Macaca mulatta: one gene and its partner. The protein of the gene in region 2 interacts with the protein of the main gene of each other region in a biochemical or structural test. Links are inferred from orthologs where the notes say so. Each region holds a gene or a part of one and is shown on either strand. Other genes may lie near its edges.

Region 1 (4,138 bases), on a different chromosome or scaffold from region 2:
CTCTTTAGTGGAGGCCAAAAACGGAGTCATGTCCAGCTCCAAGGGAAAGGAGATAAAGGTATTAATCTTTCGCCTCTGTTTGCCTACATGCTCAAACCGCTTGAGATGAAAACAAGCCACAATGGGTAATTTTTTCATTGTAAGCTGTTTAGTAGACTCCTGGTAGCTTTGGCAACTATTGCATTTGATTTTGGCACTGCTTCCTAGGTGCTCTGGCCTTGTAAACCACTGTAGGCAGTCTGTGAGTGAGGGGATTCCTGGTATGTGGTCATCCCTGCTCACTGTGCCATCAGCCCTCTCTGGGTTCTGGGAATCGAATGTGGCACAAGAGCCAGGCAAGTCCAAACTGATGTCCCAGCATGGGTCTATGGTGGTGGAAACACTATGGCAGGCTTGACATGTGACATCTGATTGCAGGCCACCTGTAAAGATTTGGTCTATGATGCAGTTACAGCAGTTGGGGTTATTGGCCTCCTGCACACCACTATCATCTTTGCTGTGTCTATGCAGCACATCTAATATTGCAATAAGGAACTCATGGGCATCCTGCTGCCTGTACCCTGCTAAATGTTCTGCATGGATCCATATCAGATGCAGTAACTTATAGGGAATGTGAGGAGTTCGGCTCCCAGAGTACATAGCATGAAAAAGCGAAGACATTTCACAGACCAGACACAAGCTGGGGCTTGTCATTATACATTTGTGCTTGTCAGAGAGGAAGAAATCTTTCAGTAGAGGAATATGGGTAAGTGCCTGAACAATACAATTCATAAAACAAGTGTTCCCAAGATTGATTAGCCCTCTCAGGCCTACAGTATAGACTGACTTTTTTCTTCTCTTTTTCTTGGGTTTCACCAATTTTGGCTCCTGTTCCTTTGTCTCACAGGTTGATTGCTTGTCTTCAGTCCCTGATGTCATAAACTGTTGATGAGAAACATCTGTTGAGGTGGAAGTTAATCTCAAAATTTTTTCTTTTGTTTCTTTGGCAATCTGTTCTATGTCTTTGTCATATACATAATCCTTACACATGAAGCAATATATGACCCCATGATAAACGTCTACAGCTAAATGGTGCTGCTTTGTTTCTGCATGTTTGTGAATATGTTTCTCAGTGAAGCAGCCAAAAAAGACACAGGAGAGACAAGAGTGGAGTCTATTCATATGGGTACTACATACATGACAGATGCATGACTTTGCTTTACGTTTCCTAGTCTCTGGGGTCCCACTCCAAACGAAACGCTGGTAGATCAGCCTCAGGTTCTTCTGCCAGTTCTTACCTACTTTAAAGCTCTCCACATGAGAGCAGCCTGTGGGACCCTGACCAAAGTCGACCTCCAGCAACCAGTCCCCTAAGCCGCCAGGATCCCCCGACCCCTCTAGGTCACCAGAGCAGCTTCTCCGTGTCTGAGGCCTGGACCCAGGTCGGGATCTGCGCCGGGATCCACGCCAGGCCCTGGGCCGCGGTGCGGATGGGGGCGGGGGTGGCGGCGGGGGCGGGGGCCGGGCCGGAGGCGGGGGTGGGGCCGACAGCCCAGGCTGGCTGCGGGAGCGGGCCCGGGGCTGGGGCCGAGGGCGGGGCTTGCGGCGCGGGCAAACGGGCGAGGAGCTGCTGTGACAGCGAAGGGGGATTGAAGGGAGCACCTTCTCGTCGCCGCCGCTGCTGGTCCACGTCAAGTTCTCCTCCGGCACGGGCTTAGGCTCCTGTAATGGCTCCAGCTTCATCTCCTCAGCTTCCCGTCCCGAAGACGCCTTCGTCGCCCCCGCCGCCGCCTCCTCCATTTTCCCCGCCTTCTCAACCGCCTCCTCAGGAGAGGCTCCTCCCCCACCTCCGGAGATCCAGCGGGCCCCAGAGCCGGAGGGCAAAGAAGTTTCTGGAACCTGGGCCATCAGATCACTGCTCGACCTGAGAAGCAAGGCGTCTGGAAACGAGCTGCGACTGTAGATGAAACGAGACAGACTTCTGTGAATGATCTGCCCAGCGTCATGGCCGCAGTGCGCAGTTAGCGCCCCCAGGACCCCTCCCATCGGCCCTTGAGCTCAGCCCGCGGCCGCTGCCGGCTCCACCCACTCAACTGAGAGGCCCCTGGAGCTGATGGGGAGACCGAGGCGGTTACCTGCTTTAAAGACGCTCAGATCATGCAGGGGCCAGGGGACTGGGAACAGAAGGCTAGCGAGCGGTGGGGGTGGGGAACGGCCTGAGCTTTAGGACAGAAAGGATGGAAACTTCTTTAAAAAAGGCGCCACCCTCTGTCTGCTTTTTTGCGCCCTGCGCAGCCTCGCTTTGGTGCAGCTTCCTCTGACGTTCTTTCCCTGTATCCTAAAAAACACTTGGGTCAACATTTTCTCTCAAAAATGGCTGAAAGGACGCACTTTTGGAAAATGAACTCAGAGGAAGAAAGTGTCCCTCTGCTCCTACCTTATCTATACTTCTGTGACCCGGTGTGTTCCACGCTAAGCCGTTGCCCCTCAGCGCACTTTCGTTCCGCCCAGCTCTTGCGCCCTCTCACGCTTTTTCGCTCTTGTGCTCTCACACCCCTTTTCTTGCTTCTGCGACTTCAATTCCTACGATTTCTCCTAGAATTCGGATTACTACTCCCTCCCTTCAGGCATTTGCCACCTCTAAGGCCACCACCATCCTCGGGCGATCCCCGAAGTCCCCGCTCCCTTTTCCCTCTCCTGCCCCCGCAACGCCCCCAGCCCGGCGGTTTGTTTAAAGGTCTGGGTTACCTTGGGCCCCAGGCGCGTGATATAGAACGTCAGCAACTGCTGCTGTCCAGGCGCTCCTCAGCCAGCCTTCTCTCCTGACCTCTCCTCAGGGCTGGTCACAAGGGGGCCGCCCCCTGGCCCCTCCCCTCTCGACGTGCGGCCCCCAACCCCGGATTCTGCCCTCCTGCAGTGATGAATGGCACCGCTGTCCCGCGCAGGCAGGCAAACCTCTTCCTGAAACAGACTCTACTGGAGGCAACGGCAGCAACAGATTCTACAGAAAGCCCCTGAAATGGAGGCTCAGGCCTCACCTAGCTCCAGGCCCGCACTCCACAGAAAAAAAGATTCGCCCGGCATGGGGGTGGGGGCTTCCAGAGATGGCAACTCCCTGGCAGAAATCCCTCAGGATCCTGTCAGAGTCTGGTCTCTGGGAGTTGAGAGAGAGAGAGAGAGATTATCCCAGAATGTGCAGGGGAGGAAGCATAAGCAAGGGCTCAGGCTCAGAGAGACCTGAGCCCAGGCACATGCTTGCTGTGTGACCTCAGATAAAACACTTAACTTCTCTGAGCCTTAGTTGTGTCAATTTTTTAAGAGAAATTGAAATAATAACCCTAACCCAATGTGAAAACTAAGTCATAGTATATATCAAGTAAAAGACCTTTTTGGCAAGCTTTATCTTTCACACCTCTTTTTTCAGTCCCGACCTGAAAATCAGCCTAGAGAACAACTCCTGATGCAGAGCAGAGGAGAAGAGAATGCCTTTCTCTTTCGAAGCTCTCTCCAAGTTATGGCTCAGCTCACCCTATCATCCCTCCTAGGCGGTTCATGTACAGGAGCATGCATTCAACAAAGATGCCATCGGTGCATTATAGCACTAGATTGTGCTGTGAGAAGCACAAGATACAACTGTTTGTGTCCTGAAGTCCATAGGCCAGGAGACTTTTCCTTTTCTGTGACAGATCCAGCATCCAAGGTGACAACCCCGGAGGAAAGCTATCTCCAGGGCTTGTTGCCCTTCCTGTCCAATCCCAAGAAAATTACGGTTTATTACAGAGGATGTTTAATGCTACATTTAATCTCTCTGAAAAAGTCACACATCTCCCCTCAAAACCTCACGATTAGGATTCAGCTCTCTTTAACTTGGCAGTGGCATCTAGTGGATATGTCCGCACAGTGGATATCAGTGATTTTATGACTTGGTCTAGATTCGACCATATCTCAGTCACCTACCAGCACCTGGAGGGAAAGTGCTTTGGAATTATAGACTGGCTTGTGCAGGAAAACGTGTTTCTTTTCCCCTAGGGAAGGGCATTTTCTCAGTCACAGCTAAGCAAAGAGTTGCTTCTGCATTCGCAGAGCTAGAAGGAAATGCTGAGTCAGTCGTTTGCTAGCTGCGCCACCTGTGGCGTGGATCCCAGCTGCTCTGAGACAG
Region 2 (3,500 bases):
TATAATGGCATCTTCTGCTTTCACCACCAGTTCAATCTGTCCTCTCCTTTTACGATGGCCCTTGGAGTAGAGGGAATACAGTGGCAGCAGCTCAGGATGGGTCTGCTTCCTGAATGTCACGTGAGTAGGCTCTTTCCCAAGCCTTGTCTACACCGTGGCCACATCAGAGCGCTAAGGTATAAAACATACTCTTCTGCTGGTCTGTGTCTGATAAGACTCATTAATAGGGGCACTTAGAAGGAGACGGTGTTTGCCTTCAGTCATCCCTTCTCTGTATTAATTTCATCCTTCTCTTGGAGCTTTTACCTGTTTCAAGTGCTCCTTCATGGGCTTATGGACCATTAACCTATAAAATCTTGGTTCTATTCTCCCTGATTGCCACCCTCTTCTTCTTATCTTGTTATCATGAGTACTGTTGCCAAAGTACTAAGGAAATAGGTTGACTCTGCTCAGTCATTCTTTTTCTGTTACAATTTTTTGTTGTTGTTTGTTTGGCCTAGCCATCACCTTAGCAAATGGTCTAACTTGTTCTCTATGGGATATGTGACACATATTAGGTACATCCATAGGACAGAGTTCAGGTGTGTAGATATACATCATTCTTTGATGTAAGAAACTGGAAATATGCCCTAACCCTAACATATACGCTCACAAACCCTGTGTGGTTGAAAATTTATTTAATTTTTAAAGTTACAATTAAGGCAATATTAATTTCATTGTTGATGGTTGATAGTTATGAGGACCTTGTAAAAGAACAACTGATAAAAGCTTTCTTGACTTTAATCCTAAATACAGAACCAGCAATTTAAATGTAACTTACAGTTAAAAAACAGTCTTGGTTTATGCTCTAAAAACTGTGGCACAGTGACATAGAAATAGAATAAACCATATAAAAATTGAGTTTTCAGAATAAAAAAATCTAAGCTTCAGATTTTTAGAGGAGGCAACTCCCTTTACTATGGCAGAAAAAACAAAACAAAACAAAACAAAAACCCACAGTAGTTTATACTGAGAATAAATAGTAACTGGTTCAAAGAAAATTAAACTTTTAAATTTGACTTTCTTGTTAATTTGGTTAGTAAAATGTGGTTTATATAGTCAGCATTTATTTTTCCTACACTGAACATTTTAATAGAATGCAATTTAAAATCTTCTAAACTTGAAGAATTATCTGTTATGGCATAAGCAAAATAATTAAGTCAAGATGGAAAGGGTCTTATCTGAAAAAAATGCTGAGTTACCTCTAAAATAACGTTCATATGTGGTTTTTAATCTCAGGAATGACCGGATAACTCAAATAAATAATCACTTTCACTTTTATAAGGCTGCAGATATAGCACTGTTTAGTACATTCTTTTAACGTTTAAATATATTAAAATCCTTGCCTTCCATTGAGGGCTGAGTTGTCAAAATCTGGAAAGTTAGTGAACTCTCAGTCATTGCACTTACTTGATCTCTTCCTGATTTATGTGATGTCATGTGACGTTCAAGTTGGGTTCTGTATGCAAAGGTGTAACTGCACAGGGAGCAACTAAAGTTATCTTCGTTCTTTTCATGACGATATTTAATGTGTTCTTTCAGAGAGGTAAAGCGTTTATAGCCTCTATCACAATATGGACAGGTGAGTAACTGTGAAAATGCATCTGGTGTTCCTGTAAAAGAAAGATCATATATTTTAAACTTAAAACATTCAGAATATATTACCAAAGTTTCCACTGACTCCCTATGCTATGTTCCAGATATTGTGCTACCCATTTCATATTTGATCCTCAAAACAATACAATGATACTCACCTCTATTTTATAAGAGAGAGAACACTGGTGCCCAGGAAGGCTAAATAACTTAAAAGAAAAGTCACAGAGCCAGAAAATGATGAAGTCAGGGTTCAGATACGGGCTGTCTGACCTTCAAGTCCCATATTTTTCCCTGAACCATAATTCTTCCCTTTTGTCATGTGATTAGCCAGAAAAGAAAACAAAAGTAAAATTAGAATGTAGGTTGCCTTTGTAAGTGTATACAGATTAAAGGGGAATTGTGCTCTACAACAGGGTCTACTGGTAACAATGGTATGTATCATTATTTATTTAAGGTTTATTCCTCTGATTTTGAAAATGAAACTACCAAGTCATTATCATCAAAGAGGAAACAGTACACAGACTGTTTCCAAGAGCCCCTTGCAGGTAGGTGTGGCCACAGGACTGAGTTCAGACCAAAAAGGAAGTGTGTAAGGTGGGGAAGGAAAGACTGATGGGGGCCAGATCTAGGCCTGCTACATAAACACATCCCATGCATGACCCTGCTTATAATTTCCCCTATTGAAATACATTGGCAAATCTGCTATATAACTGTGTATGTATGAATATATATAGCTTTTAGAAAACAAAAGCATTCTGAATAGAGTTTACTGAATGAACTTTATTTTTACACTTGGAGCTGTCTAAGCCTGACAATCCTAAAATGTAGTGTTTTGCCAATTAATACTATTAAACTAAGAGTAGTTTTCCATATTTGATATTTCTTCAATGAAATAAGTTACTAAGTGATATCTTTTTGTAAATATCATCTCTATTTTCATTTTGAATTCACTATAGAAAAACAAACCACCAAAGATAATTTCATAAAATCTCCAAGTGCTTTCTAAACATATACTCCTTTATTAAGTCCATATAAATCAAATGTCTTGCTCAAGGACCAGCTAGCAAATAATAGACTGAGCACCTGAATGTTAAACAGTTGGTCAAACATGTTGAGAGAGGGGCTTCAAGATGGCTCAATAGAGGCATCTAGTACTCACCTTCTCTACAAGGAAAAACCAAAATAATGAGTAGATAATCACACTTCACATAGATCATCTAAGAGAGAACACTGGAATTCAACAGAAAAGTGATAGGAAACACCTCAAGTAAGGAAGAAGGAAGTGAAGCAACCTGCAAAGGCTCTCCAATGCAGGGAAAGAGTAAGTGAGAGACCCCCAGGGGTCCACATTCCCACCATGGACTCCTGCAGTCCTAGCCATGGGAGACCCCTTGACCATTGTGGGCTCTGAGACTAACACAGGGAGGTACCTGGAGGCCACATGACAATGCTGCTCCGGAGAGGGAGCTTATGCTGAATCTGTATATCCCCTGAGTTCTAAGTAGCTACAGCACAGCACTATTTTGAGAGCCCAACCCCCAGCAGACTACATCCTGTTCTGGGACCCAACAGCTCCTTCATCTTCACATGCCTGGAGCCCCTCTGACATACCTCCCTTCACAGCCACCACTGACGCTGGTTGCGGCTGCTAAGGCTGAAGTGCGAACCATTGAAAGTGACCATATTTCCCCCCAGCAGAGGAGCTGCAGACATTTTTACATGCCCTGAGGACAGACTTCCCAACAGACTGCTGCCACTGTGAGCTTCCACCACTGGGGACAAAGTGCTAGCCACTGGCAGTGACCCCAATTTCCTCAGCAGTTGAGCTGCCATGCATTTATAAGGGACCTGAGGACAGGCTACCC

What was found. The genes of interacting proteins can lie anywhere in the genome.
Region 1: the proteins of ZEB1 (region 2) and USP51 form a complex in vitro, tested with the Homo sapiens proteins (2 studies listed by BioGRID). The link is inferred for Macaca mulatta from reciprocal best matches to the Homo sapiens genes ZEB1 and USP51.

Annotation. Positions count from the first base shown.
Region 1 is NC_133426.1:55,459,881-55,464,018, reverse strand, and holds the start of USP51 (ubiquitin carboxyl-terminal hydrolase 51), read right to left. Parts: upstream 2,801-4,138; 5' UTR 2,728-2,800; exon of another isoform or gene 2,417-2,727; intron 2,318-2,416; 5' UTR 2,115-2,317; intron 1,937-2,114; 5' UTR 1,888-1,936; coding exon 1-1,887.
Region 2 is NC_133414.1:32,868,584-32,872,083, reverse strand, and holds part of ZEB1 (zinc finger E-box-binding homeobox 1), read right to left. Parts: intron 1,653-3,500; coding exon 1,450-1,652; intron 1-1,449. UniProt on the Homo sapiens protein: Acts as a transcriptional repressor. Inhibits interleukin-2 (IL-2) gene expression. Enhances or represses the promoter activity of the ATP1A1 gene depending on the quantity of cDNA and on the cell type.